Linked DNA regions of Rattus norvegicus. The protein of the gene in region 1 interacts with the protein of each later gene in a biochemical or structural test. Links are inferred from orthologs where the notes say so. Each region holds a gene or a part of one and is shown in the gene's direction. Other genes may lie near its edges.

Evidence for each region.
Region 2: the proteins of Drap1 (region 1) and Dr1 form a complex in vitro, tested with the Homo sapiens proteins (2 studies listed by BioGRID). The link is inferred for Rattus norvegicus from reciprocal best matches to the Homo sapiens genes DRAP1 and DR1.

The regions. Positions count from the first base shown.
Region 1 is NC_086019.1:212,160,845-212,165,184, reverse strand, and holds Drap1 (dr1-associated corepressor), read left to right. Parts: upstream 1-1,422; 5' UTR 1,423-1,627; coding exon 1,628-1,669; intron 1,670-1,900; coding exon 1,901-1,973; intron 1,974-2,058; coding exon 2,059-2,152; intron 2,153-2,431; coding exon 2,432-2,551; intron 2,552-2,649; coding exon of another isoform or gene 2,650-2,670; coding exon 2,671-2,764; intron 2,765-2,904; coding exon 2,905-2,993; intron 2,994-3,371; coding exon 3,372-3,477; 3' UTR 3,478-4,073; downstream 4,074-4,340. Other genes in the region: Bles03 (UPF0696 protein C11orf68 homolog), read right to left, coding at 1-406, 1,063-1,184. UniProt on the Homo sapiens protein: The association of the DR1/DRAP1 heterodimer with TBP results in a functional repression of both activated and basal transcription of class II genes.
Region 2 is NC_086032.1:1,611,715-1,615,994, reverse strand, and holds the start of Dr1 (protein Dr1), read left to right. Parts: upstream 1-1,438; 5' UTR 1,439-2,059; coding exon 2,060-2,279; intron 2,280-4,280. UniProt on the Homo sapiens protein: The association of the DR1/DRAP1 heterodimer with TBP results in a functional repression of both activated and basal transcription of class II genes.

The DNA.
Region 1 (4,340 bases):
AGGTGCCAGGTGAATCAGCCACTTGCCGGAGAGCACATGGTGGGTGATGGCCAGCTGGCGCAGGGTACCTGGTGTGATGGGTCGCCCACTGGTCTGCAGAGCCTCCCAGGCTGCCTGCAGCCCTTGTACATCCCCTGAATTGGGGGTGTAACCCTGCCCATAGGCTGCAATCCAGCCCACAGGTTCAGAGTTGGGTGAACCTGGGTCCCCATAGCGAGTAACTTGAGATGGTGGGTACTTGGCCAACCAGGCATCCAGCTCTGTGGCAGGTGTAGTACGGGCATCAAATACCAGCCAGGGGTCCATGTCAGCTGCCATGGCCTCTGCAGCCAGGTGCTCAGCAGTGAAGCCATCCTCACGACCACCTGGAGAGTCCTCCTCTTCCAGCTCTTCATTTGGTTCCATCCTGTTGTGAGGGAACTGAGTCAGAAGTTTGAGACAGTAAATAAAAAGTACTGGGTCCTAGAGGGTGCCAGGCACTGCTTTTAACTGTGGCCTTGGGCAAGTCTTAATGTCTGTGCCTCAGTTGCTTCATCTTCACAATGGGATAACAACTGATCCTGTCTAGATTTGTCTCTAGAATAAAATGCCTGAGGTGGAGTCGCTATTGTCAGTACTACTTTCACTGCTTAAAAACAAGGAAATTGAAACTCTGAGAAAAGGGGCTTGCCCAAGGTCATGTCTGTAAAGACCGTTAAAGCTTAAGTGTTAACTGGCACAGGACTCTGCTACACCACAGGACTAGAGTCTCGCAGGTAGCGCGGCGCTGCAATTTAATGGACGTAGGCAAAACGCAGGTTCGCCAATCTCAGAGGCTGGCTGGAGAGGGGCCAGGCCTCCCATGGTGAACTATTTGGGGCACACTTATCAACACCAAGACTCTGAGACCCAGAGAGGACAGCGGCCCATCTGGGGGTCAATGGGCAACATCCGGACTCGAACCTGATAGGACAGAGTCTGCGCGAGGACCAGGCTCCAGCCTTACCACACCCGCCGCCATTAGTGTTCACAGGTAAGGGTTGCCTCCACCCCCGGGCTGCCCTCTCGTCGCCCCACAGTCACCTCCGGCCTTCACTCCGCTCCGCGCCAACCCAACTTCGGGCCCGGCTCCGTTCCTGCCCGGGGTCTGCGCCGCCACCCCCGCCGCGCCCCGCCCCTGCCACGGCCGCCGCCGCCGCCGCCATCTTAGGGTCCCGCCACCTCAACAACAACTTTATAGACAAACACAGTCACGGGGCGGGGCCAGAGGCGGAACCAGAAGGCTAGGGGCGGGGGCTCCAGGGGAAGGGGCGGGCTGAGTTCAGGGGCGGAGCCAGCGCGAGAATCCCGGGAGGTGCAGGTCTTCAGGAGGCGGAGCTAACGTTCGTACTTTAGCTTGGAGGGCGGGTGGGCGTGGCGGGCGATCCCTGAGAAGGACGCGCACCGCCCTAGAGGATCCAAAGCCCAGCGCTTGGGTTTTGGGAGCTGCTTTTCTACGAACGGCACTAGGACCCTGCGAGAAGTGGTGTGGGCGGAGTAGGCGGCACCAGGACCGGGGGGAACCGCGGCCGGCTGGCGGCGAACAGGCCCGGGGCCTGGAGGCTGCGGGCGGCGGCGCTGGGCCCGGCGCAGCGTGAGAGGCCCCGAGATGCCAAGCAAGAAGAAGAAGTATAACGCGCGGTTTCCGCCGGTGAGCACGTGGCCGGGATGGGCCTCTGCAGGCTAGGTTCCTGGGAGGCTTGGGCCCAGGTCCTGCTGGTGGGGGGACGGGTGCTTTTAGGTGTTCATGGCCTGACGCCCCGCCCCTTCCATGCCCTCCTGGCTTAGTGCCCCCCGCCCTCTTCTCCTGGGATACCCCCCGGTTCACTCAGCTCCCCTGTAGAGACGCAGGAGACGAGCTCTGTCCCCTTCCCCTCGGCAGGCGCGGATCAAGAAGATCATGCAGACAGACGAAGAGATTGGGAAGGTGGCGGCAGCTGTGCCTGTCATCATCTGTATCCTACTAGGGGCTGGCTGGGCTGAGGGGCGTGGGGCGGGACTGCGGCACTCCCCTTTTTGGATTCTCCTTGACGTCCTCAGCCCGGGCACTTGAGCTCTTCCTGGAGTCTCTGTTGAAGAAGGCTTGCCAGGTGACCCAGTCTCGAAATGCCAAAACCATGACCACGTCCCACCTGTGAGTGGCCGCTAAGCTGGGCTTTTGAGGAGGCAGTGTTCTGACAGGGGGAGTGGTGCGCTGCTGAGGGAGGCCAGCTTTGTGGGTTTGGACTGATGTAGGAGAGATAAGGTGTTTCAGGTGGAGGGAACAACCAGAGCCAAGCCGCCCGCCCGGGAGGCCTGGTGGAAGTGGGGAGGGGTGTTCCACTGTACTGACACGAAAAGGTTGTTTCTATGATTCCGGAACATCAGTGTTTTGGGGGCCCTTTTTGAACACCTTCCTCTCCCACTTCTACAGGAAGCAGTGCATTGAGCTTGAACAGCAATTTGACTTCTTGAAAGACTTGGTGGCATCTGTGCCTGACATGCAGGGTGATGGGGAAGACAACCACACGGATGGGGACAAGGGTCCTCGAAGGTGGGTAACCAAAACCAGGTATATAAGTGGGAAAGGCCAAGGCCACAAGGGTTGGGGGTGGCTGGGGGGTGAAGAAGGGGAGAGAGTCCTCTGTGCAGATGGCCTGTACCTTCCCGAAGGGGCCGGAAACCAGGCAGCAGTGGCAGGAAGAATGGAGGCACAGGAAGCAAAAGCAAAGACAAAAAGCTGTCCGGGACAGACTCAGAACAGGAGGTGAGTGAGGCCGGTGGGGAAGGCCTGGTCTCATCCTTGTTACAGCCTTTGTATCTAACTCCATTGCCTTACCAGGGTTCTGGGCTCCCCAGAGAAGGGCCCAGACCTTCTCATTAACCTGACCCTTGCTGTGCTCACAGGATGAGTCTGAGGACACAGATACAGATGGGGAAGAAGAGACACCACAGGCCCCACCCCAAGCCAGTCACCCCCCTGCCCACTTTCAGAGGTGAGCACCCCAGGGATACCAGAAAGAGGCACAACAAACTCCCCAGAGCCAGTTAGTTTTACTTCCCTAGCCATTGGTGGTGGTGGTGGTGGTGGTGGTGGCGGCGGTGGCGGCGGCTGACTTTAGGGAATGGAGGGGAGAGAACACTATTAAACACAAGAGATTGTTCTGAGAAGGCCTTGCCTCCATGGTAGTGGGTCGGGGAGAGAGTCTGGAGAATGGTCTTTGCTGGGACCTTCCCTCCTAGGGGGGTTGTCTCCATGATGTAATGGGTGGCTTTGACTACACCTGCTTCTGTCTCTGGAGAATGGGGGTGGGCCTGTGGGTTGGGCACAGCACAGTTCCAAGCTCTGATTTTCTCCATTTTCTGTCCTGCAGCCCTCCAACTCCCTTCATGCCCTTCACCTCTCCTCTGCCTTTACCCCCAGCACCTCCCGGCCCCTCAGCACCTGAGGCAGAGGACGAAGAGGATTATGACTCCTAGCGCCCTTTAACCCTGGCCATATGCTCTTTTAGTTAGTATTAGTTGCTTTGGGGAGAAGAGAAAGATGGAACTGTTCTTAAATTTATTAAAAAAAAAAAAGGATTTTGGTTTCTTTTCATCCTGTGTCCAGGGCTTCGTGGCTGTATTGCCCATCCCCCCACCTCCCCACATGGGGGCAGCAGGAAGGAACATTGTTGGGGCAGCCAGTGATTGAGTTAAAACAGGGAGTCTGACAGGAGTCTGGGGCACTGAAGAAAGGAATGTGGTCTAGGGACTGAGTTGCCACATGCTAAGGGGTGACCTCTCATTGTGTGGGACCTTGGGCACCTTCTTCCCCTCTCTGGACTGCTGAGAAGGGACAGATGGAATCAGTACTGAGACGGGGCCTTGAAAAGTATAGTGTTGGGCTGGAGAGATGGCTCAGCGGTTAAGAGCACTGACTGCTCTTCCAGAGGTCCTGAGTTCAAATCCCAGCAACCACATGGTGGCTCGCAGCCATCTGTAATGGGATCCGATGCCCTCTTCTGGTGTGTCTGAAGACAGCTACAGTGTACTTATATATAATACATGAATAAATCTTTTTAAAAAAAAAAAAAGAAAAGTATAGTGTTCTGCAGCCAGTGCAGTGACGGGCTCGGCACAGTGAAGAGACGGGTACCTGAGATAGCAGAGGGTCTGCGAAGCATCTTTGGAGCCAAGCAGTCTGCCAACTGTATCTGAACAGCCTGGGCAACCTGTGTGCCAAAGGCAAGAGGTACACCTTCAGGGAGCAGCAGCCATGTGGGGTTCCCAAGTGTAAAAGCCCTAGAGGGGATGGTAAGTCATCTGTCAACAAGCTTACCAGCTTCTTCCTGATGGAGGCA
Region 2 (4,280 bases), on another chromosome or scaffold:
CAACAACGAGGATCGGGGTTGCAGATATAAACAATTTAGACAGTGTCTCAGGAGTACTCACAAGCACTCTGTAGATAAGATTCTCATATGTGAAAGTTTCCATATAATAACAGCACAAAATGCCAAGCCACCCAGGTAACAGTCACCTAGGCCTTAACTTTACATCTAGACCTTAATATTTTACCTAAGTCTTAACACATCTCAACCAAAATTTACTTATTTCGAAGAAGAAATTTACTCCTTATAATCAAAGATTAAACTTAGTAGCACTGATAGTGAAGAATGTATGGTTCCCAGGAAGCATCTTGAAGAAAATGTTGAAGATAAAAATTACTCAAAGGCTGGTGTTCTAGGTCAGTGCTGAAGCTATGTCTAGTGAGGCAGGTAGGAGGGGACAATGATAGTCTCCTGGAAACCAAACATCTTAAATTATTGCCAACAGCCCAGCTGCCAATCTGTCTACAAAAAATTACGATAAACTAAACTGTACACGTTGGCTTAAGTGCCTTAGCCCTTTCAAAAGTTACAACGTCCCACTATTTATTAATGGGACCGTATGTGAAGTTTTTTGGTTTTGCCTGTGTTTGTGTTTGGAGACAGGTTTCTTCAGTGTTGCCCTGGCTGTCCTGGAACTTGACTTGCTTGCCTGAGCGTCTCATCTAAAGTGCTGGGATTAAAGCCATCTCCTGGCTGAGCTTTTTTTTTTTAATAATATAATTTCCCTGATGAATGTGGCACTAGTTATTAATAATCACCCGGAAAGAAGCAAGTATCAGACTCGCTTGAGATAAACCAATTTTTTTTTTTTTTTTTTTGGTCTTCTCTCCAAAAGCAAGTGTGCAGAGGGCCATAGCTCATGGTAGGCCAAACTCACAGCTTTGGATCAGACTACTAATTTCTGATTTAGCCGTTTGTGCTACGGAGGGTAGCCACTTATTTGAAAGCTTCGTTTGTTTTTTTTTTTTTTTTTTTTGTCATAAATGAGCACAGGGAGTTCCGATCTGAACGCTGTTAAGCAGTTACAAAGGCCTTTTTCCCCACACGCCGGGATATGCTCCTCTCACTCAGTGCCCTAATTCCGACAGCTAAGGACGTAGGAAAAGGAAGTTCTTCGGTAAAGACCAGGGCTGCTCCGCCACGTGGCCCTCCGATGGCCCTTCGGCCCACACATCCCTCCACAGAGCAGGCGAGCTCCCCTAGGGCCTGATTGAGGAAACGCGGGGACGCAGAGCGCGGGCAGCGACGGGCGGAAGCTGCGGGCTGCCAGCACCGGCGGTTCCCGCCCGCCCGGGCGGGGTGAAGGGCGGGGCGAGCACTCGGAAATCCGTCGAGGAGGGCGGGTGGGACCCCGGGAGTGAGACTTCCGGTGGCGCAAAGCGTGTCGGGATCAGCTTGCGGCAAACCTCCTTCCCCGGCCCGTAGAAAGACCACCGTTAGCGCCGCTTCTGCTCCCACAGCCTGCTCTCGGCCAAACGCTCGGTCGCGGCGACTGCCGCTGCGGCTCCCGCTGTTTTCGGCCCTGTCCACTTGGTTCCCAGGCAGCCAGCGTGCGTTCAGCTGCGGCTTCGGCAGACATGTTGTGAGGCGGCGGCGCGGGTGCCTGAAGGATGGTTTGGCCGAGGCGGCTGCAACCGCTGCTAGTGGCGGTGGCCGCGGGGGCTCCGGCTCTGTAGAGCCGACCCTGCTGTGGTGCGTCCGCCCGGTACTGCGGCCGGGCGGGTACTCCTCGGTCTTGCGTGCGCCCCCGAGCCGTTTAGGTTCGGTTAGGCGACAGCGCCAGTCCGTTTGAGGCGACACGCAAGGTGGTTCTTGAGCCCTGGGAGTGGTGTCCCCAGAGCGAGCCCTCAGCCCCCTGACCTCTCCTTCATATCCGCACTAAAATCTCTCACACAGTGGGTGTTCCCTGCCCTCGAGCCCGCTCCTTCCTGGTTTCTGCTGCACTCTGAGCCTCCCGGACCCCGACATCTCTCTCCAGGGACAGCCTGTTGAGAAATCTTCGTGGAGTGGTGGACTAGAGGGAGGACTTTAAAAGTTAGGGCTTGAAAGACAGGAAGGCACGATGGCTTCCTCGTCTGGCAACGACGATGATCTCACTATCCCGAGAGCTGCTATAAATAAGATGATCAAAGAGACTCTCCCTAATGTCAGGGTGGCCAACGATGCCCGAGAGCTCGTAGTGAACTGCTGCACTGAATTCATTCACCTTATATCTTCCGAAGCCAACGAGATTTGTAACAAGTCAGAAAAGAAGACAATCTCACCAGAGCATGTCATCCAAGGTAAGCAATTTGTGTGGGATTTAATTTAAATGAAGGTCCAGGCTAATAGAGTCACTCCTAGTGTCACGGAGCCTTCATTCCACTTCACTAGTAAGTGCAGTTACCTTAAAATACCTATGTAGCATTCTTCGGACATTTTCTTCATCCAGCTAATGCAAGTAAGAAGTACAAACATTAGGGTCAGCAAACATCCACAACATTTAACCAGTACAGTTTCCGATCAGGTCTTTAAGCAACAAGAATTGACTGCCTACAGCTAAACTTGGATAGTAACAACTGAGAAAGGAACCTCAAAGTTCTCTCTTGGGAAGTTAAATTTTAGAATTTCAAGCACGAGTCGAGTCAGAGAGTATATCTCTTCCCCACCTGTGCTGAGGAAAAGATTCATTTTGAACACAGGGGTAGAAAAAGTTCTTTGGCTGTGAACGGAGGTCAGTGGTATATCATCTACCTAGCATGCACAAGGGCCCTAGGTCCGAGTTTAAAAAAAAAAGTTATCAACATGAGTATGTTCATTGTTGTAAAGTTAATTTCTTTCCAAAAAGTATAATTTTTGCTTTACAAAACGCTGAGGTGGTGGAACAGTTATCACCAGGTAACCGAGTGCCACATTTTTTCCTTTTTGACTTCCTCCAACTATTGATTGTTCTTTGAAAATTATTTGTAAAGGGTGGCTGGGGCAGGGCGGGGACGACAGTACTCGGGCTTGAACCTAGGGCCTGACACATGCTAGTCAGCATTCTGTTGCTGAGCTGCCCAGCCTGTCCTCTGTCCTGCTGCTCCAATTTGGATGTGTCTATGCGTTTAAGCTTTTATGGAAAAACGCTTCTAAAGGTTCCCACAGTTTCTTTCTTACGCTGGAAAGGATTTGGAGTTGGGATTTTGTTTTGATGATTACAGGGAAAGGAGACGAAAGTTGCTTTTGGCAAATTTTGGGAAATACTTTCTGTGGCTTTTCATGAACTCTTATGAGAAAGTTGCATTCAGTTTGGTAAATCACTTCTATTATAAATCTATTGAAAATGAGGACAACTTCTTGATTACTTTTAAGGTTAAAAGGAACAAATTTAATCATATTAGGCAGGTAGTTCGTTGCCATTTTATACATTTAAAAATTTTACTTTCCTGTTGATAGAGAACATATCTGATCATATGGAACATAACCATTTTGCAGTCAGTATTGACAAGAAGGTCACGTGTTTAATTTTTGAGCCTTTATCCTGTGCTGATGGTAGATTTAAAGCACACCTTGCTGTGATGAGGGGGGTCTCAAGGCTGAGTACTTAGCATGGCAGAGGTCAATCCCAGTAGGTAGTAAGAGTCGTGATGATTGATAGATGTGTGTGTGTGTATAATCATATCACATGCACATATACTCTGCCATTTCAGCACATAGCAGATAACTAAGAAAAAAGCAATGTTTTTACTTTAGGTTAGGAAAGGCAAGATGCTAACAGGTTCACACTCTTGTTACCTAGCCTGGCCTTAAACTTAGAGCCTCTTCGTGCAGTCTCTTGGTCCTGGGATCATGGACATGTAACTACCATTCCTGCTGCTTATTTGATTCTTTGGTGTGTACATGCTGAATGAACTTGGGGCCTTGTGTGTGCTGGGCAAGCAATGTCCTGCAGAGCTATCTTTCCAGCTGACATACTTGATTCTTAAAACTAGTATTTTTTTTTCCTACTTGTTTGGTTTGCTGAGTGGTAAGAAAAATGGAAACCAAGTGTTTTGGGGTTTTTTGGTCTTTTTTTTTTTTTTTTTAGTTTTTTTTTTAGTTTTTAAGTCTCTTAGAAGATATTTAACAAGTAGCTAACATTTCCTTTGACTTTTTGTGAAGGAATGGAAGAACCACCTTTTGTCAAGCATCAACTTTTTAATGAAACTGCAGATTTCTGTAGGACCTGCCTAAACACTTGTTTGTACCACAGAAGTGGTGATTGTTCCAAAAATCTAATAACACAATCTGTCTTGTGGGAGGCTCATTCTTTTCTAGGGTAT